4 linked regions of the Mus musculus genome follow. The protein of the gene in region 4 interacts with the protein of the main gene of each other region in a biochemical or structural test. Links are inferred from orthologs where the notes say so. Each region holds a gene or a part of one and is shown on either strand. Other genes may lie near its edges. The genes, in order: Snx9, Sh3gl2, Itsn1 and Dnm2.

The links.
Region 1: the proteins of Dnm2 (region 4) and Snx9 form a complex in vitro, tested with the Homo sapiens proteins (2 studies listed by BioGRID and IntAct, with this or other methods). The link is inferred for Mus musculus from reciprocal best matches to the Homo sapiens genes DNM2 and SNX9.
Region 2: the proteins of Dnm2 (region 4) and Sh3gl2 interact in a biophysical measurement, tested with the Homo sapiens proteins (2 studies listed by BioGRID and IntAct, with this or other methods). The link is inferred for Mus musculus from reciprocal best matches to the Homo sapiens genes DNM2 and SH3GL2.
Region 3: the proteins of Dnm2 (region 4) and Itsn1 form a complex in vitro, tested with the Homo sapiens proteins (2 studies listed by BioGRID and IntAct, with this or other methods). The link is inferred for Mus musculus from reciprocal best matches to the Homo sapiens genes DNM2 and ITSN1.

The regions. Positions count from the first base shown.
Region 1 is NC_000083.6:5,923,530-5,930,224, forward strand, and holds part of Snx9 (sorting nexin-9), read left to right. Parts: intron 1-1,075; coding exon 1,076-1,152; intron 1,153-2,542; coding exon 2,543-2,632; intron 2,633-3,676; coding exon 3,677-3,791; intron 3,792-4,675; coding exon 4,676-4,767; intron 4,768-4,776; exon of another isoform or gene 4,777-4,939; intron 4,940-4,970; exon of another isoform or gene 4,971-5,822; intron 5,823-6,695. UniProt on the Homo sapiens protein: Involved in endocytosis and intracellular vesicle trafficking, both during interphase and at the end of mitosis. Required for efficient progress through mitosis and cytokinesis. Required for normal formation of the cleavage furrow at the end of mitosis.
Region 2 is NC_000070.6:85,202,586-85,209,965, reverse strand, and holds the start of Sh3gl2 (endophilin-A1), read right to left. Parts: upstream 4,511-7,380; 5' UTR 4,390-4,510; coding exon 4,345-4,389; intron 1-4,344. UniProt on the Homo sapiens protein: Implicated in synaptic vesicle endocytosis. May recruit other proteins to membranes with high curvature. Required for BDNF-dependent dendrite outgrowth.
Region 3 is NC_000082.6:91,726,858-91,734,148, reverse strand, and holds the start of Itsn1 (intersectin-1), read right to left. Parts: upstream 4,779-7,291; 5' UTR 4,550-4,778; intron 4,542-4,549; exon of another isoform or gene 3,614-4,541; coding exon of another isoform or gene 3,574-3,613; intron 1-3,573. UniProt on the Homo sapiens protein: Adapter protein that provides a link between the endocytic membrane traffic and the actin assembly machinery. Acts as a guanine nucleotide exchange factor (GEF) for CDC42, and thereby stimulates actin nucleation mediated by WASL and the ARP2/3 complex.
Region 4 is NC_000075.6:21,421,823-21,429,131, forward strand, and holds the start of Dnm2 (dynamin-2), read left to right. Parts: upstream 1-3,085; 5' UTR 3,086-3,273; coding exon 3,274-3,434; intron 3,435-7,309. UniProt on the Homo sapiens protein: Catalyzes the hydrolysis of GTP and utilizes this energy to mediate vesicle scission at plasma membrane during endocytosis and filament remodeling at many actin structures during organization of the actin cytoskeleton.

The sequences.
Region 1 (6,695 bases), on a different chromosome or scaffold from region 4:
CCCTGTTCAGATGTCACTTGGTGGTGGCCAGGGGCTCCGCAAAGCAGGGGTTCCTGATGGAAGAGTTTTAAAGAAGAACAAAGAAGCGATGTCAGAGAAAGGTGCAGTTCTGTCAGAGACGATCGAGGCCGCTTCTGGAAGTGCAAAAACTAGACTCAGCTAGAAACTGACTATGGATCAGGTTAAGCCTCCAGGCCTGGTGGCCCGCGTGAGGGCATGGGAGGGACAGAGGGTGTCACCACAGACATTGAGTGTGTAGTGCATGACTCACACTCCTAACACCCCACAAAAAGACAGGGGTGACAAGAGCCCCAGGTTAAGGAACATGCCATCCTGTCTGTGTGTGCACTACCTTTGCACACTGGCTCTCACAGAGCCTGCCTGAGGTGCTGGAGGCCCACACGCTGCTCTGCTCCTCGTGAGAGCAGAGCCATGACCTTTTCCTAGGTGTGCCGCAGTGTCCTTGTTCTTTAAAGATTGCCTAGAACGTGATGTGTGTCCCAGGAAAAGAGAAACCGGGAGCACGGGGTCTAGATGGAAAAGCTGGTCACTGTCTGAGTTAGAGTTTCTATGGCTGTGATCAAACACTAACCAAAAGCCACTTGGAGCAAAGCATTTGTTTTAGCTTACAATTGAGGAAAGTCAGGGCAGGAACTGTTGCAGAGGCCATAGAGGAACTCTGTTTACTGGCCTGTGCCTCCTAGCTAGCTTAGCCCCCTTTTGTATAGCACTGAGGACCACCAGCCTAGGGGGTGGAGCCACCCACGGTGAGCTGGGCCCTCCTGCGGTGATCATTAGTAAGGAAAATGCACCCGAGGCCAGCCTAGTTTTTGATTTTCTCAGCCGAGGTGTCTTCTTCCAATGACTCTACAGCTTATGTCAAGCTGACATTAAAAGCACAGACACCATCTGCTGTCTGGAAACCAAAGAGTGGGGGATGGGAGTTCTCACCAACGTTGACAGTTTTTAAGTTTTCTACACTAAAACTATCAATAAAGTCTGTAACAAAAACCGTAAGTGTGGGGGAATATGTGTAACACAGTATAGTCTCTTCCAAGACTGCTGTCTGTTTCAGGAGAGACCGACCTTAACGATGCAATCACAGAAGCTGGGAAGACGTATGAGGAGATCGCCAGCCTTGTGGCAGAGCAGGTACTGCTGGGATCACACTCCCCAGCCCACATTGGTTGTTTAAACCCAAACAGCTGTCCCCTTTCTGTTTCTGTGGCTTTCTGTTCATTTTATTTAGTGATAATGTTTTTCTTTTTCAGTTAAGCCAGAGAAGACAAATGTCTCATTAAGAAATCCAAGTGAAGCTTTGTAGCTTACACCTGTAGCTTACACCTGTAGTACTAGAACACCAGAGGCTGGAGGCTAGCCTGGGCTACATGGGGCGTTTTTGTTGTTGTTGTTGTTGTTGTGTTGGGTTTTTTTTTTTGATTTTTCGAGACAGGGTTTCTCTGTAAAGCCCTAGTTGTCCTGGAACTCACTCTGTAGACCAGGCTGGCCTCGAACTCAGAAATCCGACTGCCTCTGCTTCCCAAGTGCTGGGATTAAAGGCGTGCGCCACCACGCCTGGCAGGGCCTGGCAACATGGAGCGTTTTAAGCTGATCTCAGTTACAGAGTAAGGCCCTTTCTCAAGAAGACAAAGAAAAAGAATCTAGGCTGGGCATGGTGGCACACGCCTTTAATCCCAGCACTTGAGAGGAGAGGCAGGCGGATTTCTGAGTTCGAGGCCAGCCTGGTCTACAGAGTGAGTTCCAGGACAGCTAGGGCTACACAGAGAAACCCTGTCTCAAAAAACCAAAAAAAAAAAAAAAAAAAAAAAAAAAAAAAAAAGAATCTAAGTGTGTGTGTGTGTGTGTGTGTGGGGGTCCTGTGGCTCAGTGGTAGTTGGCCTAGATTGCTATTCATATCTGTAAGGCTCAGATTTTGATCCCAACACCGTCCAAAAATGAAGGTAGGGGATGGAACTGAAGTGAGTTGGCCACGGTGCCTCTGACCCACTCTCAGCCAGAGGCTAGAGTGGCGAGGAGCCCTGGCATAGCCCTTGCACTGCTGCCTGCCCTCTCTAGCTTGCTTTCCTCATCTGTGAAGTGCCTTGGATGAGCCTCAGGAATGTAGGCAGTATTTTTTATTGTCTATTAAAATATAGACATTAAACGGTAACATCTTTGCTTGTTATAATTTTATGCCTGTATTTTATTGATTAAAAATGGCCCAGGACACATATGTAGCAGAGGGCTGCCATCTCTGGCCTCAGTGGATGCACCCAATCCCGCAGAGACTTGACTCTCCAGGGTGGGGGCACAGATGGACACGATGGCACATACCCTTAATCCCAGCACCCAGGAGCCAGAGGCACACAGATGTATGTGGGTTCAAGGCCAGCCAGACCCTAAACAGTGAGAGCATTTCAGTAAAGAAGCAGCACTCAGCCCTCTGTCACACAGGAGGATGTGGGCATCATTCCTCATTAGTTTCTTCTCTTTAATTTTCTAAATCCTCCACTAGTAACAGCCAGCCTGTGTCTCGTTATAGCCAAAGAAGGACCTCCACTTCCTGATGGAGTGCAACCATGAGTACAAAGGCTTTCTCGGCTGCTTCCCGGACATCATTGGTGCCCACAAGGTAAGTCACTGTGCTCTCAGGGCCTCCCAGACGCACAGCATCGCCGAGCCGCAGTTGTTTAGATCCTACGTGTATCCACAAGAAATGTGGTGGTGCACGCCTGTAATCCCAGCAGTGAGTTTGAGGCCAGCCTGGTCTACAGATAAGTTCCAAGCCAGACAGGACTACACACTGAGACCCTGTGTCAAAAGGAAGATGAAGGCACAGTATCCTAAGTCCCACCATAAAGTTTTAAAACTAAATTTAAAAGTTAGTTGGTAGATCTTGATGATTTAATGCTGGTTAGCATTTCCTCTCAGGGTCTCTGTGGTACGCTAGTGTGTTGAGGTGCCCTTGCATTTGTTAGGAAGCTCTCAGCAAAGGGCTGGTCTGTGTCTCAGCAGTGCTCCATGAGGAATCATGAAGGAGCAGCACAAACAATGTTTGTGTAACTCAGACAGCTTCATATGAAACTCAGGAGGTTGGCTCGTCAGAACTTGAGCAGCAGAGTTGGAGGGTCAGGCCTGGAGCCTCGCTTACACTTCACAGTGGAGCTGTCTTTGCGGGGGACATAAGTACTGAGTGGTGTCTGGAGCTGCGTGAGGACCAGCGCCAGTGTTTACAGCTGCTTCCATCCAGAATGAGAGTACAGGACCCAGGACCTCTCACAAACAACAAAGGAAAGCCCTGCAGTCTGCACAGCCAAGCCCGGCTCGCTCGTAAATGCTGTGTCATAGCAGCAGAGAGGACACGTGCCCCTGAGACAGCTCATGTGCCTTTCTGACCTCTCATCCCTTCTCCTCTGTGTACTCCTGACACCAACAGCGCAGAATCTTACATGGGCAGAGTTTTGTTTGTTTCTCTTATCACAGTGTGTAGCACTGCACATTCTAGCTTTATTGCAGTTTCCAGGAGCATCAGCCTTCAGGCTTCAGAGGGACTTAGAGGGAGTTGGCCTGGGATGTTCTGCTCTGTACCACAGAGTGTCAGCATTGCATCTTCAGCTAATGACTACTGCTCTTTGCTTTGTCTTCTTAAATACTGTTACATTTATGTATTTTCCAGGGAGCAATAGAAAAAGTGAAAGAAAGTGATAAGCTGGTTGCAACTAGTAAAATTACTCCCCAAGACAAGCAGACCATGGTGAAGAGAGTTGGCACCATGTCTTACGCTCTGCAAGGTAAGAGAAAGGGTGGTGAGTAACTGGGAAGAGCTGTTCCCAGCTCCCAGCGTCAAACCTGCTTGCTGGTAGAAATCCAAATGTTGAGTCCCAGTGAAATTCAAAGCTAATTTAAAATGTCTATCTGCTTCTAGGTAGCGTTTTATTTTACAGATGAACTTGGGATAGCTGTGGGTGATTACACCCATACATCATTACTTCTAAGTGACACATTCTGTTAACAGCCTTTAATATCACACTGTTGTATTCAATTCCAAAGTCCAGAGCTGGTGGGATGGTTCAGTGGTTAAGAACACTGGCTGCTCTTCCAGAGGTCCTGAGTTCAATTCCTAGCAACCTCATGGTGGCTCACAACCATCTGTAAAGGAATCTGATGCCCTCTTCTGGCGTGCAGGTGTGCATGCAGACAGAGCACTTCTACAATTTAAAAAAATGCATAAATTAGTACATTTAGTACAGCTTCTAGAGGTCTGTGAACTCTGTGCTCTGGGACCATGGAATCTAAAGGAGGCTTGTGGGTATCACTTAGACATAATTTAGTTAGAAAGAAAGCAGCTGATTTCTAGAGGTGTGCGTGTGTCAGAGAAAAGAACAGCAATGGCCGTCTCTGTGTCTGGTGAAGGCTGACAGACATGTGCCTGTGCAGACTGAGGCTGTCAGTGGAATTCAGCTAGTCAGTGACAGCCATCCATTACTAGACAGTGGCACTTGCTGCAGGGGTCAGCTGTGTTTCTAGGCTCTTGGTAGACTTGGGCTGAGAACTGGTGCCTCTTAGAAGCAGCCAGATGAAGTCCTGCTGATGACGAGTCTTAGGCAAGCAGAGAATGTCATGTTGTTATTCGAAGTCTTGCTGGGAACTAATCCCTGTGATAATTTTGTTGTAGCTGAGATGAATCACTTTCACAGTAACCGGATCTATGATTACAACAGTGTCATCCGCCTCTACCTGGAGCAGCAAGTGCAGTTCTATGAAACAGTGAGTGTCCCCTCCCAACACCCCCCATCCACAGGTGTGTCCCCTCCCAACACCCCCCATCCACAGGTGTGTCCCCTCCCAACATCCCCATGCACATGTGTGAGGGCAGTGAGTGTCCCCTCCCAACACCCCCATCCACAGGTGTGTCCCCTCCCAACATCCCCATCCACAGGTGTGTCCCCTCCCAACATCCCCATCCACAGGTGTGTCCCCTCCCAACATCCCCATCCACAGGTGTGAGGGCAGTGAGTGTACCCTCCCAACACCCCCATCCACAGGTGTGAGGGCAGTGAGTGTCCCCTCCCAACACCCCCATCCACAGGTGTGAGGGCAGTGAGTGTCCCCTCCCAACACCCCCATCCACAGGTGTGTCCCCTCCCAACATCCCCCATCCACAGGTGTGAGGGCAGTGAGTGTCCCCTCCCAACATCCCCCCATGTACATGTGTGAAGGGAGGGAGGTTTTGGCCTAGTGCCCTTGACTAGATAGACTTGGTCAGTTATAATCTTTACTCCTGAGTGATAAACCAAAGGGGCTTACATTTTGAACAGAGTTTAGTGGTTTGATTTTTTTTTTAATCTTTTAAAATTCCATCTGAGGAATATTGGATCAAAAAAGCTTTCCTGGGCCTGGAGAGACAGCGTAGTGCTTAAGAGCTCCTGCTGCTGTCACAGAAAACCCAGGCTCAGTTTCTGTCAGTCACACTATGGCTCACAGTCATCTCTAACTCCAGCTCCAGGGGTCTCATGCCCTCTTCTGACCTCTGCGGGCACCAACCACACACAAGCCACATACACATACTTACAGGCAGAGGAGCTGCAGAGAAAAGAAAATGAATAGGTATAATCTTTGGAAATGTTTAAGCTTTACTTTGAAGAGCAGACATTGGTTCCTAGTTTTAAAGCCTTGAGCAGTCCTGACTGTGTGACTTCCTTCTTTCTGAGCCTCTCCACGCACGGGGACAGTGCCAGAGGATTGAGGTCACCCTGCTAACCCACAAGTTGTATCGTTTTCAGTTAGAGAAATAACCAAAGGCAGCCGTTGCTTGTGACCCAGGTTTTACAGTTACCAAAGGAGTCTCTTCAGGAAAACCAAAATAACACAATGTTTTAACATTTTCATTCAGCGAACTGTAAGGAAAACATAAATCCTCCCTCCCTTCCTCTGCCTTGTGCTGTTCTCCTTCGTTACACACTTCCACACTTCTCGTCGGTGTGCTTGAACTCAGGCCCTGCAGGGCAGCACAGAGGAGCAGTGAGCGCTTGCGGTAGCCTTGGTGCTCAGCCTGCCATTGCCTCCATGCATTCAGAGATACAGGCTAGCCCTCAGAACACATCTCTGCATGTGTCGCTTTTGGGTTGTACTCTGGCAAAAACACCTTGTGAGTTCTGGAAAAAGCTGCCGACTCACAATTCACAATTACACACAAGGTACACGTGTTACATGTACATTTAAACAGGTGCATTTAAAACACATGGACCTGATGTGTGGGGATGGACTCACTCTGGAGCACTCTCTGTCACAATGGCTGTCTGTGTCTTCTGACTTTCCTGTCGCTGCTGGGCTTAGCCCCTCTGTGTGTTAGACATAGTAGGTTACATGTGTCTCTGAGAAAACGTTGGAAAGGTAGCTCTCAAGGTGCTCATACTGTGGATTTATTAATTATCAAGCCCACACATGCTATAATTTTTGTAATTCAACACAGAAAACCATGTGCTTTGTCACTGTCGTCTTAGAGCAAATATCCCTGAAATTATTAACACTTACATTTCTGTACATGGAGCAAACATGTATGAGTATCTACTGTACACTTGCACTTCAAATGTTTAAGGTCCCCAGATGACTAAGGAACCTGAGCCTAAGGGTATTGAGTACCCTTATGGGAGGGTAGGCACATAGCAGATTCCCAGTGCACCCTGGGCTGTCAG
Region 2 (7,380 bases), on a different chromosome or scaffold from region 4:
TTAACATACCCACTTGCCTTCCTGGTTTGTGAGCTAAGCACCACAAGCCCCCAGCAAATGCAGCCACATAATCTTGGATTTCCCAGCCTGCAAAATCCTAAGTCAAAATAAGCTTCTTCCCAAATGACTCAATCTCTGGTATTGTTACAGCGGCAGAGAAGAGGGTAAGGGAGGGGAGTGCCAAAGCCTAGTAACTTACACACAATCCATATTTCTTTCTCAGCTTGTGAGTCTAAGAAAACCCAAGATCAGGACACCAGCTCATTTGTGTCTAATGGAGACTCACTGTGTTTTGAAGATGACCTCACTGTGGCAGACTGGAATAAGTTCTCTCCAACCTAGAGGAGCAGTAGTAATTCCATGCATGAGGCTGGAGCCCTCAGACTTAATCACCTTCTAAATACTGTCTACTAATACTATCTTATTCTCAGCACAGGAATTTGAAGTGGGGACAAAACAACCTATAGCAATATCCTACCCAACTGATTAAAGACTTGAGACAGAATTGTCCCTCTAAATGTTGGATCAAATGCAGTATTAAGAATACTATTACAAATCCTCTTATGCAAAATAGGCTAATATTTAAAGTGTATCCCCCCAAAATGTTTATGTTGAAATTGCAGCTCCATTAACGCAAGAGTATGACCTTACAGGAAAACAAGAACACTGCTACCGAGGTCCCACTAGAGTAGGCTCCTAATCCAACATGACTGGCACCTTGGGAAACTGAAAGTTGAGCACAAACACACACACACAGTGATGCTGTGTAAACATGAGGACCACATCAAGGCACTGTATGTAAGTTAAGATAAACCAGACAGACTACCAATAAAGGCCCAGAAGCTAAAAGTGATGCCTGGAGCAGCTCTTGCCTGGTGCTGTCTGAGGGACCATGGCCTTCCTGCTGCAGTGACCTAACACCTCCAGCATCTTTCTCTCAAGAGAAGTGATGCAGTACATTTGTGTTGTTTAAGTTGTTCAGTTTGGGGTACTTTGCTACGTATATTCTAGCAAACTAATAATGTAATTGTCTAAAACAGTTCATCCTGTAAAAAGATTTTCTTACACTGCCATACAGTTTGAAGAATGAATTGACACCATATATGCACCCCGTGGCAGTTTGAATGAAAATGGCCTCCAAGGGCTCATAGGGAGTGGCTGTTGGAGTAGGTGTGGGCTTCTTGGAGGAAGTGTATCACTAGAGATGGGTTTTGAAGTTTCAGATGCTCAAGCCAGGCTCATTGTCTCTTCCTGATGCCTGCTAATTCAGATGTTAATCCAGATGTTCAACTCTCAGCCCCTTCTGCAGCACAGTGGCTACCAGTGCACCACCATACTTCCCACTATGATGATAATGAACTAAACCTCAGAGCTGGAAGCCCAGCCTTAAACACTTTCCTTTATAAGAGCTGCCATGGTCATGGTGTCTCTTCACAGCCAAAAAATACTAAGACATACCATAGCAAACACTTGATCATGAAGTATAGGAAAAGAATTATGGGTTTGCTTGCAGTATTAACCAGGAACTAAAGCTATGTTTACACAGACTGCTGCAAATTCAAACAAGTTTTTAAAAGTTGACATTACTGATGATACAATGGAAGCTCAATAAAAATAAAACTCTCTGAAGGTAGAGTAGTAATTGCTCAATTTGTCCTATGTTGCAATAAAAATTATTTACTTACAGAGTAACCATTGATGAAAGGGAGAGATATTAAGTTCTAATATGAGAACCATAGGGGCACACTCTAACTAGGAACCCTAACCCAACGGTACTGACACTAAAGGCATATTCTATTGATGAAATCCCACCCACCCCTCTGTGGAAGCTCAGCTCCACAGAAAGGCAAGATGTTGCCTTCTCTGACCAGCATGGCAGTCAGGGGCCTAACACTTCCTCTGCAGCAAAGATCAGATTCAGGAAACGACTGCAAAGCAGGACAGGACCATTTCCCTCAGAGCTCAGAGCAGGCAAACACCACCTCGCGTTACACACCCTCTAGAATAACACATCCATGCACAGGAGAGTAACCTTTGCCTTACGTTTTTAAAGACTAGGCTCCATTAAGCTATGAATGAGATTGTGTTTTGCTTCACCTTTAAAACAAAAAGGCTTTTCAGCAAAGGAAGAGAATGGCAGTGAACAGTGACCCAGTATCTGGGTTCGGAGTGGTAAGGAGCAGGTCCGTCCCTAGTAGAACTCCTCCACACCTGGAGACGGGGCTTCCCCGATGACGTTCCAGTTCTTTCCTGCTTCCAGAGCTGCACACAACCTCAGGATGAGCTGAATGGAGTCAGATGGTTACTGTGTGTGTTATCGAAGCCCCGGCTGGGTTCTCAAGTCTCGTTATTACCAGTGGAAAGGAATGGTACCTAACGCTAAAGGAATTATCCTTAACATTAACAATTACCACTTATTAAGCATTTTCTATATATGCTCTACAAATTCATTTATCCTTACTTTTCCCCTGAGAAATTTTGTCTCATTTTTGGCAAGGACGGATTCAGAAAACTAGCTTGCTCAATTTCCTAGGTAGCAGAAGAGGGATTCAAATCTTAGCCTTTCCCTCCCCAAAGCCAAGGCTCCTAAAGGAATGTTGGTAGAATCAGTCTTTTGGTCTAGATTAGAAATGAGACAAGTACCTAAATAAATAAATAAATAAATAAATAAATAAATAAATAAATAAGGTGGGTGACATCAGGGCAGTCCTATGCCATTCACTGGTAGCACAGATTGGTTCTGTGAAACTGGAAAGTTGCCAGAATCAAGTGAATAATATACTTGGCTCTACCTTTCCAATAGGGAGATCACAGACAATTCTAGTGAGAAAACCAAATATATATGTAGTTAGAAGCACTTCCTAAAATGACTGTTTCCTGTCTCCCTAAATTAGTTCCCAACAGAACTCATTTGATGATGCTAAGTCTATGGTGACAGAGATGATGCTCAGGGGTGAATGTCATCCTGCACCTTAATTTAAGCAAACTTGAGGAATGCAGTCTTCACCTTTTCCCTATGCCTTTTGCAATAGTACTGAGGCTGTGAACTCGGTAATGAGACTCATGTATAGCAGAGGAGGACTGCCTGGTCTGGCCTCAGTGGAAGAAGATGTGCGAGAGACTTGAGATTCCTGGGAGTGGGAAGACCTGGTGTGCGTGACATCCTCTTGGAGACAGGAGGGAGAAATGGGATGAGGAACTGTGGGAGGGGGGACCCAGAGGGAAGGGAGTGGCTGGATTGTAAAAAAAGATAAAAGTAATGTTTTTAAAAAACAAGAAATTACAGAAGCCACACAATTAAGGTTAGCTTAGGATAAGGATCTTTAAAGCTAAATGGTTACGCAAAAAGTATTTTACGGTTTATCAATAAAGTCGTTTCTTGTTAAATATATCTTAAAATTTAACCTGTTCCAAATGAATAAAAGGGTTGTAACTCCACACATTATGTAAGAAATGGGTCACATCGTAAGTATTTTTGGACATTTTCTCTTTGTAAAATCACTGAGTTGGGCCCAATGAGATTTAAATTATGTGGGTCTGGATTAAATTTTAATCTCAGCTTACCCCACACAGAAAATTTGGCACATCTAGTAAACAGTGATTTTCAAGTTTTTAACAACTGCCTCCGCAGTAAAACCCGTGGGAGAACTTTAAAGACTTGCAGACCACTGATCAAACCATGGCCTCAAATAAGCTTCACCAAGGAGTTCTCCAGGGAAAAAAGTTAATGCATGCATGCTCCTTAGGGGAACCACATTCTCCCATGCTGGGAGCCTGGGGAGGCCTGGGAAGGAGGGGTTCTGAGAAGGCCTGGGAGCGCAAAGCCTGGAGCAAGCGCAGAGCGCGGGCACCTCCGCAGCCTCCAGAGCGAACCTCGCTCCAGCCAGCACATCCCAGGACAGTGGGGCACACCACACCGCAAGGTCACCGCACCGAGGCGACTTTACATAATCTCCCGCCGCGCCGCCAAGCACCTGCGCGGCACCCTCCGTGCAGAGCCTGAGAGCTGCCGTGCAGGGACTAACTGCCTGGGAACCCGGTGGGCGGCGAACCGAGACAGCGGGGACAGAGAGCAGAGATGCCAGGGGAAGGGAACTGAGGTCTGAGTGCTAGAGTGGCAGGGACCACAGGGACTCGGAGTGGGAAGAGGAAGCAGGGATGCAGCGGCCAGGGAGGAGACTCGCGGAGCGAGCACCGATCGGAGACAGGGAGCCGGGTTATGGAGCCAGGCTGCCGCGCAGCGCCCCGCGGGGACCAGATCAGAACAGGGAGGGGTTGCAGGGGAGGACGCCGTCTGTCTGTCGGTCTGCGGGGCGGCCCATGGCGCACCTGCACGCGCCCTACCTGAGTGGCTTTGTGGAACTGCTTCTTCAGCCCTGCCACCGACATGATGGGATGCGGGAGGCTGCGCGGCCGGCAGATGCAGATGCAGATGCGGAGAGGCGGCTGGGGTCGCCGGGCCGCCGCTGGTCGTGCGACCGCGGGAGCTGCTGGCGCGGGGGCGCGGCGCGGGACGCGGGCTTGTGCGGAGAGACACCCTGACGTCAGGGCGGGTGATGCGGCCTCTTAAAGGGGACGCGGGAAGCCCCGCCCAGGGCGCAAGCCGAGGCAGGTGAGCGCGAGGAACCCCCGCACTGTGCGGGGGCGAAAGTCCCTCCACGGTCCGAAGCCTGGGCTGTCTTCAGCTGTGGGAGTCGTTCGTTCGTGGCCCTGGCAAAGGGATCACCGCCTTTGGGCAGTCTAGACTCAGGTGACCCAGCTCCCAGGTAGCCGCAGTGGTGCTGCCTGCGCACTGCCCTTGCCCTTTGAGCCTGGCCTCCCTGTGGTTGAAAAGCAGGGTGGCGGCTTATCTGGATCATGAATAAGTTATTGCTCATTTCATGCCCTGCCTTCCCGCATGATTGGCCACCGAAAACATTTCTCTGCCTCGATTTTAATATCCCTTAAGCTTGTTTCACCTTAGGGAAATCTATCAACTTTTTTTTTCCTGTTCTAGTACAACTTAACTACTTAAGATGAAGAGAGGTCCCTACAGTTTGACTGGGATACTGGAATGGAATTGATATGAGCTATAGCATATATTGATATGAGTAATAACATTTAATCTTCTATTTTCAAAAGAAAAAAAAAACGAATGCGAACTTGGCATTCACACAATTATCATGGACATTTTTTTCTTTCTTTTTTTTTTTCGTTCTAACATTTTTATATAATGAGGAAAGGAAAGGCAGTAAGTTATACAAACACCACATAGGGACAAAGGGTGGATGGGACTGGGTGAAGGGCCCAGAGCAGCACCAGAAATCTGTGCTCTTATGAGCAGCCACTTCAAGTTTGTCTTGTATGGAAGAGCTTGTGGGAGAGTCTCAGATGCAGGCCACACCTGCATGTGTGGATCAAAGTGATGAGCCGCCAAGAGGAGAGTAATTACGGAGAATGTGGAAAGAATCAACAGGACCTGGATTGGGTTCCTAGAAATACAGTTCCCCTCCCGCCCCCCCCCCCTCTACTGCCTGGTGTAAAGGAAGCCAGTAGACTTCTGCAGCTTGAGTAAAGATGAACGGAAGAGCAGGTGCAAGGGGATTCTAGACACGGGCTGGGTACCACTCACCCTTGCTACTGTGAATCACAGCACAACAGAATATCGGAGCAGTGAGCAGTGAGCATACCCTTCCAGTCTGCAAAGCAAAGCAAAAGGAAGGAAGGGGTCTGTAGTCTTGTGGTCCTTGCTGCTGCCCAGACCTTCCAATCTGTGGTACTTTCTAATTTCTAAACTACCGTGGAGGCATTGGGATAAACATTGGTTAGAGGATTTAGGCAGGAGGGACATGCTAATTCTTAATAATTCACCTTTTGGTATCAGGGCCACAGGGTTCGCTTCTCTCTGCCACAAATCTATGATGTGGTCTGAAATTTGCAACTTTGGTCTCAACACATGAAAGAAGTGAAATGGGGACCTGAAGAGGCTCCTCGGAAACTTTGAGCACTTGCCTTAACCTTAAAATCTTAAAGCAAAGCTAGTCCCCGCCTTTCCTTGTCTCTTTGACTACTTACCTTCATAGCGTATGCTGCTAAAGATCAGAGGAACCACGTTGGGTTCTGCATAGAAAACTTCAAAGCGCTTTGAACCTATTGCTCTCACCTAGGTCTCATCTAAGTCAGGGATTCTATTTAAGCCTCAACTGTTAGCTATGAAAACCTTTGGGGTGTTGCCCCAGAAGAGAGGTGTTGAGCAGCTACTTTTGGAAGGCATCAGAGAAAGGGGTGTGAGGGGATGGTGCAGGAAGATGCCCACACATGTAAATTGGCCCTTGAACCCCAAGGTCAGCCAGTCTCAACCCCCCTAATGCTGCAATCCTTTAATACAGTTCCTCGTGTTGTGGTGCCCCTAACCATAAAATTCTTTTCTTTGCTGCTTCATAACTGTAATTTTGCTACTGAGATGAATCATTATATAAATATCTGTGTTCTCTGATGGTCATAGGCAACCCCTGTGAAAGGGCCATTTGATCCCAAAAGGGGTGGCAACCTACAGGTTGAGAAGCACTGCCCAAGTATTTCCAGGCCAATGATTCAAAGCCACTGTTTTATGTGCATATATTCTAACTTGAATGTAGAAGGAAAGTGTGCTTGGTGCTCAACGGCTCTCACATGGGAATTCTTCCACTGCAAAGGATCTGTAACTAAGTCTCAAAGCACAGCGTAGGCGGCTGTGGTTAGAATCAGAGGTCAGTAAGGAAGGCCTTTGACGAACTCAACATTTTACCCTTTCGTCTCCCGAGATAAAAATCACTGGGAAAATGGTAAATAAACCCGGATCAGCTCAAGAAAGGCCCAATTATGCGAATCCCCTACACAGCACCACCTCACTAATTGGGCAGTAAATTCATGGTCAGCAATAATTTCCTCACATCATTTATGCACTACTTCTCTCTGCATTATGGCAAAGCTTCCAGGAAATACCAGTCTGCTAGTGTGCACAGGGCTGATGCATCCCTAGTTACCTTTCATGGTGATATAGATCCCAGGAGAGAGGCAGATGGAAAGCTCCCACTTCCATCTTTCTCCCCACTGACCGTGTTCACAGTCTCTGGCCAGCACAAGGGTAAACTGCTCCAGAATTCATGTGCAGCTCAGTGAGCATGTGAATCACAACAAGGCCAAGGCGTTCAGTCCTAGCTTCAGATCTTACAGCTGAGAAATTCGAGGTGACACAGGGCAGTGAGTCACTCTTTTTCTACTACGGCCTCTAGCTAAACGCAGGACAGCTGTGTCGGTGCTAAGTGTAGACAGAGATGACCGAGTGAATGCATAGCCCTGTCACTGGTACCACTTAAGTCACAGGCTTAACACCCTTAGCCACATAGCCCTGTGAGTGGT
Region 3 (7,291 bases), on a different chromosome or scaffold from region 4:
CGTGGTGGCTTACAACCATGAGTAACTCCAGTTCCAGGGGATCCAGTGCCCTTTTCTGGCCTCCTTGGCCATCACCATGGTGATACACGTGGTTTAGAAAAAAATATTTACGGACAAAACACCTACTTAAAATTTTATGAAAATTAGTAAAATTTCAAAAATAAGTTAAAAAGAAATGCTATTAGGGAGAGTCTGTCATGACACACTACACTAATGTCTAATAAACTAGCCAAATTCTCACAGATCCATAAAGTGATATATTATCCAGCTATTAAATTTATATTATAGACATGGAAGGGTTTTGTTTTTGGTTTTTGTTTTTTTGTTTGTTTTTTTAAATGCTGAGAAAACAAGTTAAAAAATAATCTATTGTGGCTAGTGCATGCTTGAATTCCAATACCAGGTTAGCAGAGGCAAGAGGATCTCGATAAGACTGACGCTAGCCTGGTCACAACAGCAAGACACATTCTCTCCCTCTCCCTGAGACAGAGACAGAGAGAAAGAGAATGAAAAGAAAGAGAAAACAAACTAGAAAAATGGCTCAGTGGTCCTGATTCAAGTCCTAGTGTATATATGTGGGGGGCATGGGGAGTCCGTATGTTTTTAAACTGTTCCTTTTAGTCAAAGGCTGGGAAAGAATCATTGCAAGTTAGAAGCCAGCCTGGTCAATCTAGTAAGCTCCTGGCTAGCCAAGGCTAGATAGGACTTTGAAGAAGAAAGAAGAGAAGGAGGAAGAGAAGGAGGAAAACAGACATGCACAGCAAGATCCCATTTTTTGTACCAAAAGCTGTACATGAAGAGCCATAAGCACACACAAAAATGGCCTGGTATATATGCTTGGGCCACGGATTTATGGGTATTTTATAGTTTCCTTGCTTTTCTGTATTTCTGTGTGATCTTTTTAAAATACAAAGGCTATTAGTTATTCACTCTAAATTGGTTAAGACTAATTCTAAAGTAATACAATTAAGATGAAAGTGAGCATGAAATTTATTTTGTAATCATATGTATAATCCTTGGTAGTTTATTAAGTAAAGTATACATTTAGTACCAAGATATTATCAAGAGACTTCCTTTAGGAAGCAATGAATCTCTACACAAAGTGACCACACAGTATGGCAGCACAGAAACCACGTGAGTGTCAGCTTGCAAACTTTCTATCTCACACACTCCAATTCTTCCTGTCAGTGTGAACTAGTGCTTAATAACTGACTGCGTTTAAGTGTAGGTCACTGTGACACATGCTTGAAACCCCAGCACTTGGAGGCAAGCCTGGGCAACATAGAAGTATGCAAAGTCCACTGCCATTCTTCCCATTTTTAGCAAAACTGAGGTCCTGAGAGGTTTGGTAACTACATCTAAGTCATTAACAATATGTGATGAAGTCCCATATTCTTCAGAGCTTGGCATTGCATGTAGCGCTCACCCACATAAAATCTGTAATTTATAGGACCCTGTGGTAGACTCTGTAAAAGGGAGTAAAGGTCGTATATCATAAGAGTCAAATTGGAAAGCATATGTATTGTCCATATTTTCTAAAAATGATTCTTTATGTTGGGATTATCATCATTTATAAAATGATACGTGATTAGACTCTACATTAAATTTTGAGCCCTCAGGGGCAACATCTACTAGACATCTTTCTAGCACATCACCCAGAAGGGCTGTACATTCAACACTGGTCAAGCTTAGGGGAACTGGCTAGGACACAGCGCTGTGACTACTCTGTGATGTGACCAACTTGGCAGGTAAAGACTCAAAACAGTGGGATGGAGGCAGTGTGGCTCACCCATCCACCCTGCAACGGTCTGAAAGGCACTGGCTTAGTTTCTAGGCAGGCCACACCAATTCTGCTCTTCTGAAACCCTCATCACAGTATGTAAAACCTCTGCTACTTGAAAAGCTTGCTATCCACTTCAGAGACGGTCTTAGGAGACACTCGGTAAGAGAGAAAAGCACAATGCCAAGGTTCTCCAAGTTCTCTCTCTGGCTTGGAGAAATTCCTGGAAACTGTATTGACAATACTGACTACTTCCCATTGTCTGACTGAGCTGGAGAGACAGAAACCTGGTAAGCTGATGTAAAGATATCTGAATGCCAGACTTAGATGGAGCCAGTAAGTGGAGCCATTCAGGAGGGAGTCACTAAAAAGAGAAGTCTGACATAAACCCAACCTCCATTAATTAATTTTCTTTAAGTCACAGGTTGAGCAAATTAAAAGGATGAGAGTCTAGAGACTGTAGCACAAGGCCCCAGGATCTAATGCCAGCAGTACCACACACAAAGACAACGTGAGGCTGCAGATGTAGCTAGGTGCTAGGCTACACTCTAGCATGCTCCAAGGCTTGGCTCAATCACCAAAAGAGAAAAAGCACAGGCAGAGGAATTTACCAGGGCCTCCCTTTTAAGCTCTTGCAAGTGTTTTAAGGGTGTATCTCAATCTAGGTTATTTGGGGAAAAGATAAAGAATGCCCAGAGGAAAAAGAAACTGCTAGTCAACAGCAAAAGAAAGAAAGAAAGAAAGGAAAAAAGGAAGGAAGGAAGGATGGATGTGGGCTGGAGAGATGGCTTAGCAGTTAGAGCACTGACTGCTCTTCCAAAGGTCCTGAGTTCAAATCCCAGCAACCACACGGTGGCTCACAGCCATCAGAACAGCTACAGTGTACTCATATAAATAAATAAATCTTTTTTTAAAAATTAAAAAGAAAGAAAGAAAGAGAGAGAGAGAAAGAGAGAGATTCAAAGAAAGAAAATGCTGAGGAACAAACATTTCAGGGAACTAACTTGCCGCTACTCATTTTATGCCCTATTTCACAATGCTCAGCATCTGAACAATCCACAGGGTTCCAAAGTACATTAAAATGTGTTCATTTCCTCTCTTACTCAGGCAGAATAATAATAGTTTTGTGGCGGTACCACAATCCTCAGCAATTTCAATGACAGACACTTTTTTTTTAAACACATACTCTCTGAGAGGTGCCTTACTGCAGCCACTTAAAAGTGTATAGAAATATCTATGCCCTGTCACCAAATCAGTGGCCTTCACTTCTTAATTTAAATCCTTTATAATTTCCTGAGTTCTTTACATATCTCCTACAGAAAGACGTTGCTTTTTAAAAACTTCTTAAGTTATAAGGGAACTCACACACACATACAAAATATTTCAAGCAAACTAGTGTAAAAAAAAAAAAGTAACAAAAATGGTAACCATAATGGTTGCTGAAACGTCTGCACTCTTCACCGTTAACATCTTCTAAAAATAAAAGTATCCCAACAAATAAATACATTCCTCTAGTTTGGAGCATTTAGAGAAACACCCTGCCAAGCAGCTGGCCTGCGGGCTCCTGGCCCCAGCTCCTGCCCTCACATCCTGTCCACTACATAATCCATGAGCAAGCCTTTCTCTTCATCAATTCAGCGGGATTAGTAAACCGGCCTCCCTGAAAATAGAACTGATATTTTCCACGGGCATTTGTTCCCATGCTTTCACTATCTATGCTATTTATCAGACTCTTTTTTTCTTTTTTATCCTCCGTGTTTCCGACCACGAAGTACCAAGAGAAAGATACCAACCGATAAACACAAAAGAACCGCATCTGGCCAGAGTCTGCATGCATTTACATTTCCAGGTTGCTTCTGTTTTCCGAAAAGCAGTGATGAGGGCAAAGTCGCAAACTTTCACATTCAAGATGCTACCAAATACCTCTACACCCTCAAGCTGCAGCAAGAAGCCACTAATCTATTCCTTCAAAAGCAAAGCCTGTAGTCTGAATCACAACAATAGAAGACTGCTCATAGGCAAGAGGATCAGCGAAGTTGTCTTCCAAAGCAAAGGCAAACAGAAGTGAAGGGAGATCCAGCCAGCTCCTCCTTGCTTTTCTTTCTTTCTTTTCTTTTTTTTCTTTCTGGGAATCCGGATTGCATTTTCTGGTGCCCCCCCCCACCCCCAAGAAGGGACCGCAATTATGCACTGGGTCCACAGCAGACACCCGAGTCAGTGCGTGCGCAAGGAGGGCGAAGCGGCCGAGAAGGGGACGCACGCCCGCTGCAAGGGTAGCCGCTTTCTGTTAAATGCCATCAGAGCCAGCCCCGGCCGCACCACTTCGGCCCAAACGGCATTGACCGCCCTTCACTTGACAGGGTATTCCAAGCAGGCGCTAGAGAAAAAGGATGAGCCGGGGACTCGAGGCCGGGGGCACCCGCGGGCGGCGCGATGCGGCTCCCGCGAGCTCGGGATCCCCGGGAGGCCGGGTCGGCCCGCCACCCTCCGGCGGCCGAGGGCAGAGGGGTCAGCGGTGGAAGGACCGCCCGCCGCGATGCCCCCCACGGGAGCGCCGGCCGTGGCTGCGGACGCCCATTCAGCCCGAACCCGTCCCGCGGCCGCCACCGCCGCGGCCCGCCCGCCCCGCTGCCCCCGGGGAGGATGAGAAAGACCGGGCGGAGCGGCGACGGCGGCCGCAGGGACGCGCGCCCGGCCGCTGGACCCGACCCCGGGGCGGCCATCGCCGACCCCCGCCCGCGCGCCAGGCCGCCCGCGTCAGCTCCTCACCTCATCTCCGGGCGGGTGCGCGCGGCCGCCCCTCACACAAATCAGTGCAGCCCGCACGCCGCGCGGAGGAACGCCGAGTCCGCAGCCGCGCACACCATCCCCGCCCGCCCGCCTGCCTGCCTCCCGGCCGTCCCGGAGCCCGCTCGGGATGCTCCCTTGCGAGCCGCCGTACTACGGAGCAACCAAGCTGCGCGCCCTCCCCGCGCCGCTCCACTCCTCTCGCCCTCCTTCGCTCCTTCGCTCCCTCACTCCCGCCTAACTCCTCATCTCCCTCCGCCGCCGCCCCTCCGCCCACAGCCTGCCCTCCGCCCCACCCATAGATGGGCGGGGATAACCGCCTGCCAATCGGACGGCGGAGACCACGCCTTCGCTCTCTCCTATGACTCCGCCCACTAGGTGGGCAAAAAAGAAGAAAGGAGCCAAAGGAAATAGAGGTGTACAGAGTGACAACGAGATACACCAATGAAGTAGTTTGGATAGCACCCCCCCACACACACACACTTTTTTCCCCTCCCATCCTTGTCTCGTCCCTTGAAGGCGTAACTAGAGGTTTCTGCTCTATGCGTGCGGAGATTTTGTTTCACGATTTGGCGCTTTGCTCTTTTCTATGCGCGACAGTAGCTAGGATACATTCAACTAAATTGAAGGTTTTGCAGAAAGAGCGTGGGCACGAAAGGCGAAAGACACAAAGACTGAAGAAAGATGGTAGGGGTTACGGTTGGAATGAGGAAGGGTGTGGCCTTTTACTCTAATTTGCATAAAACGGAACCCATCTTGGCAACGCCCAACTTCTCCCATTTATTGGTGGTCCCTGGGGCGGCGACTCGTCTCTCTACGGGAAGCAGCATGCTGGGAGATGTAGTTCCGGGTTCAGTTGCCATGGCGTTCGTCACAGCCTCCCCCAGATCGGTCATCCTGCGGTAGTGACGGGCAGTCTGACCAATGGCAGTACTGTTTGGACCCAAGAAGGCGGGCTCTCTGCAGAAGGACTGGGAAGGTGGCGGCGGCGAAGGCGCTGGCGGTTGAGGTTGCTCCGAGCCAGGTGAGCCAGGGAAGAACGATGTGTGTCTCTGAAATGGGACTTTGGGCGAAAAATGGAGAAACGCCTGAAGGAGCTGTCTAACCCTGGGGAGACTGGTACTTCGCATCACACGCCGACCTCAGAGATGCCCTGGCTCAGGCCTAGCTTGGCCGAGGCCGCCGAGGGGCGGGTAATACTAGATTTGACGGACAGTTCCTGACCCTGGCTAGGTTTTGATTGTAGACTGATCTTTGCTTCTTCCTCCGCGTTTATGGAGGCAAAGGTCTAGAACTGCCTTTCTCCTGGGTTGAGTCCTCCCCGCCCCCAGCTTCTCCCTATCACTGTTTCTGATGCTGTCTCTATTACTACTTCCCTTGTCACCCTTCTTATCCTTCTCTTTGCATTTCCAGTAAGCGGTTTCCTAAAGCAAACAAGGGTGGGTGTTCGCAGTAATGGGGCCTTGGGTCAGGAATTGCCTGCTTCATTGAGCCGGCCATACTTGAGCCATACTAAAGAATTATCCCAGGGTCGTGAGGAGGTGCAGATACTGATTCTGGATTTGGGCCTGGTGGTCTGCATTTGCTTTTTAAAAATTATATATATATATCTATATATGGCATTTTAAACAAACTGCCAAGTATAGCCAGTCCACAGTAGCTGAGTTTTGCATTGCCTGTCCAGGACAGATGTTCTAGGCACCCAGACGCTTTTAGATTTCCTGGGAGCCACATTTGGACAGTGAAGAGACCACGTGAAATTAATTTTACGTTTCTCTTAAACCAGCTTATCCAAATATTATTTCAACCTTTAAAGAAATCAGATATTTAAATGAGACAGTGTATCTGTTGTGCGTTTTACCCTCGCAGCATACCCTCGTACCCTCATCCTAAGGGCACGCCACTCACGTGCGGAGTAGCCACCTGTGGCTATTCGCCGCTCTCCGAATCCAGATGATGCAAGAGACCATTGCACAAACTCAGCAGTGTTAGTCATGTGATTGCCAGCGACATCCCTTTGCTGCTTCAGTACATGGGTTCAGAACTACTTTCACAATACGATACTGAGCTTACAAGAATACCAGGGAAAGTAATATTTATTAAAAAGCCAACTTCCGTAATGTGTGCGCTGTGTACTATACTCACTCAGTCCTTGCAGCAGCCTGCGTCCTATTGCGGGGTCCTGTCTCTTGGGAGTTGTAAATCTTAGGCATCAGCCACTGCAATGTACAATTATTACTGGCTTTTCTAATTAATGTCACCCACGCTTCTGTCTCCACATGTAGAAGGAGATGAGGTGTTCATATTTGAAACAGTGCTCCCCGTGTAAAATCAAGCCGCCCAAGGCTGGAGAGCTGGCTCAGGGTAGGGACACTTGGTACTCTCCCAGAGGACCAGGGCTCGCCACTGTAACCACCTCTGTTACACTAGTTCCAGCGGATCTGAAGCCCTCTCGTGATCCAACGGCACAGGGCACACAGGCAGGGTGCAGACACAGATCCAGCTGCCTGGCCTGGCGTGGTGGTGGCCCATGCCTTTGACTAGTGCTTGAGATGCAGGGGCAGGCAGATCTCTGTGAGTTCAAGGCCACCATGGTTTACAGAGCAAGTTCCACGGCTTCATAGAGAGACCCCACCTCAAAGAAACCAAGATAAAGCTGCCTGGCATCTGTGGTAAAATAATTGTGGTAATTTTATAGTTCTCCATGCTGCTCCATGTTAAGAA
Region 4 (7,309 bases):
GCAACACCAAGCCTACCAACCATAAACTCGTACATTTGGGACCTGGGACTACGTCATGTTCCTTAAACAATGGCTTGTCAGTTGATGCTATCTAGTTCCCTAAAGTTTCCCATTGGCTTACACAAATATTTTATTCCTCTATCTAATAAGGCCAACAAGTATGGGCTTTAATGCCCTGATTCCTTTTCTTCCTTTGTTTTTTTTGTTTTGTTTTGTTTTTGTTTTTAAAGATCAGGGTCTCCCTCTGTCATCTTCTTGCTCACAGCTTCGGTGCGACCCCTGTACCACCTCCTGTCAGCTGCTTTCCAGAGTGTACATTCCTGCTGCCTCCTTACTGGGCTTATTCAAGCACATGTGTGCCCAGAAGCATTAAATTATTACTGATTTAATAATTATTATTATTAATTGTTCCACCCGGGCAATTGGCGGCATGGCCAAAATCCTATGTTCAAGAGACTGGGGGAAGAGGACTGGGAGTTGCAGGCCCGCCTGGGATACACAGTAAGGGTCGTCCTATGCTAGACAGACTGTGTCTCAGGTAAACACAGCCCTCCTAAAAGGAAACAAATACAGAACAAATGCTGGGACCTGGCCATGAAAAGAAGCTCTGAGTTCTTGATACACTGGGTGTGGTGGCTCCTGCCTGTAAGAGTTAGAGGCAGAAGGATTGAAGTTTAAGACCATCCTTGGCTACACAGCCTTGAGTCAAGGCTCTGTGAAATGAGGCTCTGTCAAAGGTAAACACCACCATCTTCCCCCTTCCCCCAAATGTGCTTCCAGAACCTCCAGTTTTGCCTGCAAAGTAGTGTATTCTCCCATCTTGCGTTAGGGAGTGAATCTCCACATTGCACTTGGCAGTTAAAAGGATGTAGGATGTGGTAAAGCTGAAGTAACATGGAAACAGCTGCAATACTGGCTTCTGCCTTACAATGGCTTGGGTGGTGGGTGGATGGGGCACCTGGAGAGATGGTGGCCTAGATCCCCAGGACCCTCATAAAAAGTCAAGCATGGTGGTGAGCGTGTGCAGTTCCGGCTGCTGGCTAACCTTCTCAGCTGAACTGACCAGCTCTTGGCTGAGAAATCCTGTTTCAAAAACTAAGAGAAGTGACAAGGCCTAATGTCAAGCTGTGACCTCCGTATGCACATGCACAGGGCAGCATACCACAGCCACACAAATGAGAAAAAATGGAGGCTGGAGGAGTGGTTTAGAGTGCTGCTGTTGGAGGGGACTATAGTTTGGTTCTCAGCACCCATAATCAGATGACTGACAACTGCTCTTAACTTCCACTTCAAGGAATTCCATGTCCTCTTCTCATCTCATGTGCCTATATCACACCCAACATAAACACATAATTAAAATAAAGGGGCTGGAGTCGTGGTGGTTTAGCAGTTTAGAGCACTTGTTGCTCCTGTAGAGGAGGTGGGTTCAGTTCTGAGCACCCATATAGCAGCTTGTAACTGTACCTCCAGTTCTGAGAGGATCTGATGCCCTCTTTTGGTTTTCTTGGTCCTGCATGACTCTGGTGAACAAAATATTCCTGCAAGACCAAACACCATGCATGCAAAAGAAAAGTTTGGGGTTAGAGAGACAGCTCAGTGGTTAAGAACAGTTGTTGTTCCCAGCACCCACACATTTAAAATCTCATATAAAACCATCCAGAACTCCAGTTCTAGGGAATCTGATCCTTCCTGACTTCTGTGGGCACCGGGCACAGATCTGGTGCGCATAAAAATAAAATAAATCTTTAAAACTTTTTAACTGTTATTTTATGTAAATTAAAAAAATTGTACATGGATTTTTTTTTTTTTTGCCTGCATGTCGGTATGTGCATTATGTCTGTGTCTGTTTCTAGTGGAGGCCAGACGAGGGTGTCAGATTCCTGGAACTGGAATCACTGATGGTTGTGTGAGTTGTCATGCAGGTGCTGGGAACCAAATTTGAGTCGGCTCCCAAGGCAGCAAGTACTGAGCCATTGGTCTAGGAGAAAAAAAAAATTAAAGTAAAAATAAACCTACAGTTGTAGCCATCCGCAAAACACTTGCTTGGCTTAATGGAACTGTAGACTTGACCCTCTGTAACGTACAGAAATAAGCACGAGAGGGTGAGAACGCCTTTATGAGGCAGAAGTGTCGACTCATCTTTCACTGGCACTGGGATTCTTCCAGAGTTGGGATCTGCGATGCTTTCTGCTTTGTTTTGTTTTTTTGTTTTTTTGTTTTAGTTTTTTTGTTTTGTTTTGTTTTGTTTTGTTTTTCGAGACAGTGTTTCTCTGTATAGCCCTGGCTGTCATGGAACTCACTCTGTAGACCAGGCTGGCCTTGAACTCAGAAATCTGCCTGCCTCTGCCTCCCGAGTACTGGGATTAAAGGCACGCGACACCACGCCCGACTGCGATGCTTTCTAAAATATGGGTTTTCACTACAGCCTAAGAATTCAGGTGTAACAGCCACTGAACCTTACCACGGTGTGCTTCCCTGAGCACTGTGGCCTTTTGCTTAAAAAGAATATCACAAAGTGATAGCAAATGCCAGGAAGTTGGAAGAACTTTTATGACACAGTTGTCAGTGAGGATTGGGAAGGTAGTAGCGTGTATCCTAGCAGGAGGGAGGCTGAGACAGGAGGAACATCAAGAGTCTGTAGCCAGCATACAAAACTATAGAAACTATAGAAAAAGATTGCGGCTCTCTTTCCTCTTACTGGTTGGAGTAGAGAAGTGATATTTATATCAGCCAATGAGAAATTTTTACGGAATTAACTAGTGTCAAGTGACAATCCAGTGTTGAAGAATGGATCCCTTACACCCTTGGCAGGTTGACGTTTCTGCGACCAATAAGCCAACCCGAATCAACCTAGTGAGCTGAGGCCTCAGTGTCTTTTCCAGAGACCCCGCCTTCCCGGTCTGACAACCCGGTTTGACTTCTATTGGCTTTCACTTAAGAGTGACAGTTTTATTACCCAGTGAATTTGTGAGATTAGCCCTTCCTCGTGCCTTTTTTATTGGCTCACGTTCTTGAGTGGCAGTGCTTTGAACCAATTGGATATAGCAGTAGGGTTGCGGACTCCGCCCCGGAGGCCGGGAGGGTTGTTCGCTCGGGTCGGGTGTCGCCTGAGAACCGGATGAGGCGGCGACTCTGAGGCCGAGCCGGGAGCGGGCGTCGCGGCGAAGGGGAGACCGGGCGGGCCGGCAGAGCAGAGCAGGAGGAAGCAACGGCCACAGACACATCGGAACCGAGAGTCTTAGTCGGGGGATCCGCGCGGCGGAGGCGGACACCATGGGCAACCGCGGGATGGAAGAGCTCATCCCGCTGGTTAACAAGCTGCAGGACGCCTTCAGCTCCATCGGTCAGAGCTGCCACCTGGACCTGCCGCAGATCGCCGTGGTGGGCGGCCAGAGCGCCGGCAAAAGTTCGGTGCTCGAGAACTTCGTGGGCCGGTGAGCGAGCGCGCCGGCGGCGGTTCTGGGGCTCCGGCCGGGAGGGCGGGCGGCGGCCTAGGGCGCGGAGGGCGGGCGGGGAATGGCGGAACTGCGGCTCGCGGACGCCGCAGCACCGGTGGCAGTGGATAAGGTCTGGGGCAAGAGTCTCCATGGCTTTCCGCAGGGACTGGAGATGCAGATCCAAGTCTGGGACTAGTCGATGATAGTGGGCGGTGTTTGGGGCAAGACGGTCAGTGCCGACCCCTCTTGGTGCTTCTAGTTCCGGCTATGGCTGGGCAACTCTGACATCGCTTTACCTGTAGTCCGGGATAGATCCACTCCTCTTTCCTTCTGCTACCTGGAAATCTTAGTGTGTGTGCTAAGATGTTGAAGATAACACTTGCCACTTAGCCATCCATGGGGAATGACCCCTGGGGTCTGTCTGGCCAGTTATTTTCTGGAGCCTGCTCTCTTGCCTGGTTAGCTGGTTATCTGTTCTAGACAGGCTTCCTACCGGCACCATTTGGTTGTCCCATCTGTCCAAACTCACTCTGAAGTCCACCGTTGTCTGGCTAGCCATCTAAGGTGACCTCTCGTGTGCAAATGCCCATCTGTGCCCCTTATTTACGTGAGTTGGCCTCTGCCATCTGACTGGCTGAACTTTGGGAGCCTCCTGTTATCTGGTTCTCTTGGGCCGACTGGCTCTTTGAATCCATCCATTAGTCTGTTCTCCATTCCCACCCAGGCATCCCTGCCTGTCCATCCTCTCTGAGTGACAGAGGTTGGAGAACTTGGGAAGAAACATTCTTTAGGATTCTTTCTTGGGCTAGGATCCCCTAACCTAGAGCTTCCCAGTTGGAATGCTCTCTAGATAGCTCTGGGAGCCTCAGCTTGTTCCATCTGTCCAGTGGGCAAATTCCACTTGCAGCTGTTTGTAGGATCCAGGAAGTGAGTGAAGGAGGGATGTTGATTTACTCCTGTCCCCTCCCCCTCTGCCTCTCCCCGCAGCAGCACTTCTCCATTCCAGGAAGTGTTCCATGTATGATGCTGCAGTGTGTGCCTACCCAGTGTTAACATTTGCTTTGCTGTGGACATTATCATTGTGTGTGTGTGTGTGTGTGTGTGTGTGTGTCCAAGTGTGTGCCAGAGTGCATTTGTGGAAGTCAGAGGGCATAATCTTTGTGAAGTCCTTCAAAATTTATGTGGGGATTAAACACCGGGCCGCAGACTTATATAGCAAGTCCTAGTATCCATTGAGCTATGTCATTGTCCTTCCATCTTAAATTGTAGAGACATGGTCTCTCACTGACCATGCAGCTCACCGATCTCATTGGGTCTCTCTCTCTCTCTCTCTCTCTCTCTCTCTCTCTCTCACACACACACACACACACACACACACACACACCATGCAGCTAACTGATCTCACTCAGCTATTCTCGCTGGCCAGTGAGCTCCAGGGATCCACCTCTCTCTGTCTCACCCTATCATTGGGTCACACACACACACTCACACACACACCCTCTGTTATTGTTGTTACCAGTCTTTTGTGGAGGCAGAACATCTCTAAATTTGAGGCTAGCTCACTCTACATAGAGTAGAGTTCTAGGGCAGCTAGGGCTACATATTGAGACCCAGTCTCAAAAAAACCTCAAAAGTTGATTCAAGACTGCAGGGACTGGGTACTTGGAAGTGTACATTTAGGTTGAATTAGCTGCACCTGTGATCTTAGGATTTTGGGAGTCTGAGGCAGGAGATTTCTTGAGTTTGAGTTCAACATGGGCTCCATTGTTAGTCCTGTCTCCAAAAAAAAAAAAAAAAGCCATGAGAGGGCTGTGTGGTGACGCTCGGGCATGGAGTACTTGCCTAGCATGAATAAGACCCAGGGGTCAGTTCCCAGCACCAAACTAATAAGAAATATTGTTGATATTTATGTTCTCTTTGATTGCATTCATACTCAAAAACACCTATGGCTTTTAGGTAATGAAATAAAAATTTTATGTATATGTATATACACATATCCCTGTTTGTTTGTTTGTTTGTTCGTTTATTTATCTATTTGTTTTTTGGTTTTTTTGAGACAGTGTTTCTCTGAGTAACAGAGCCTGGCTGTCCTGGAGCCACCTTTATAGGCCAGGCTGGCCTCTAACTGAGAGACTTGCCTCTACCTCTCAAGTGATGAGATTAAAGGCAAGTCCACCAAGCCTAGCTATTGATCAATGTTTTAAAAAGCATCTCAGAATGTAGACAGGCTGGCCTTGAACATACAGGGATGCACCTAGTTCTACCTCCTGAGTGCTGGGATCAAAGGCATACAGCACCGTTCCTGGGTGGGGGTTATTTTGGTTTTTTGTTTTTTAATTTTAAAAAAATTTTTGTTTGTTTATTTTGAAACAGTCTCATACTGTAGTCCAGGCTGACCTGGAACTTACTATAGCATAGGTTGGCCTCCAGAATTGTAGCAGCAGTTGTCCGATTTCATTTTCTAAGTGCTGGGGTCACAAGCACACACCACTATGGCATTAAGTTCATTTTACTCTAGAATGCATAACGTACCTGTGTTGCAGGACTTTGCCAAGAGGCCCACTCAATCCCATTCTTTATTTCCTGCTATGGACTTTATTAAACAGAGTCAGAACTATGAGTCTGTCTGACCCTTGTGCTGTTTCTTTCCTCTGCTGTTCTTGAATATCCATCCAGGGGCATCTGGTTGTCAGCCAGGAGCAAAGGAGAGTGTGCCAAGGGCTTGGGCCAGCCCAGCACCTAGGGACAGCTCAAAATGCTTCCTGTCAGGGCTGCCTTAGATTTTTCTAAGAACATTAGTGTACACTAGGACAGCTCAGTGGGCCCAGCCCCTTGCCGAGACTTGCATGCAGATTGCTAGCCCTGGAGGCCAAGGGCTTGAAATGTAACAGGTTTCACATGAGGTCCAGATTTCTACAGAGCCTGAAACTACCCTGAAGGTTTTAGTAATAATGAGGTAGAGGCCTGAGGCCCCAAGCATGGGTCTACCAAAGCTGTGACTTTAGTCAAGGGCATTGATTGGGCATTCTAGGCCCCAGGTTCCTGAGTGTGTGTCTGTGCACAAGTGTCTGAATATGAGTGTGTGGGGTCAGAGGGCAGCCTTAATCATGGTTCCTCAGGAGCCGTCGTCTTTGTGGGTTTGAGTCACTTGTAGTCTAGGCTGACTGGCCAGCGAGCCCCAGGGATCTCTCTGCCTGGACCATTACAGTGCTGTGATGACAGGCGTGCATAGTGATGCCTGGCGTTTTACCTGAGCGCCAATGATTGAATCTTGGCTGACATTGAAATGGCTATAGAGCTGAGGCTAACCTAGAACTCTGGATCTCCTACCTTTACCTTCTGAGTTCTGGCATTGCAGGAGTGCACCACCATGTTTGGGTTTATGTAGTACTGGGGATGGAACTGAGAACTTTGTGCATGGTAGGTGAGGCAGCCAGACCCCAGGTTTCTCTGCTCTAAGACAGAGCTGTATGTAATCTGGGCAGAGTGGCAGTGGTATAATGTCTGCTCCCCCAGAAGTGAAAAAGTAAGACTGAGACCCTCACCCTGGGGTGAGCTGACTTCACGGGTAACTCACTGGATCTTCTAACCAGGACTGCTTTTACCATTTTAGAAGCGTTAGCATTTGAAACCAGCATCTGAGCCAGCCAGCTTTGTGAGCTAGCTATGGCTCTCAGGAGGGCTTGGTTTCTACCTAATCGTTGCTATTTAATTGAGGGACTGGCAAAGAGGCTAGCTGGGCTTTTTTCCCCTACCCCACCCCCATTTGGACAGGAACCCAGGAAGTTGGGGTTCCAGCCTGGAAAGCGGAGGCTAGACTCCTTCCTGTGAATGTATTGCCTTTCTGAATCGGAATCTCAGAAGGAAGTGGG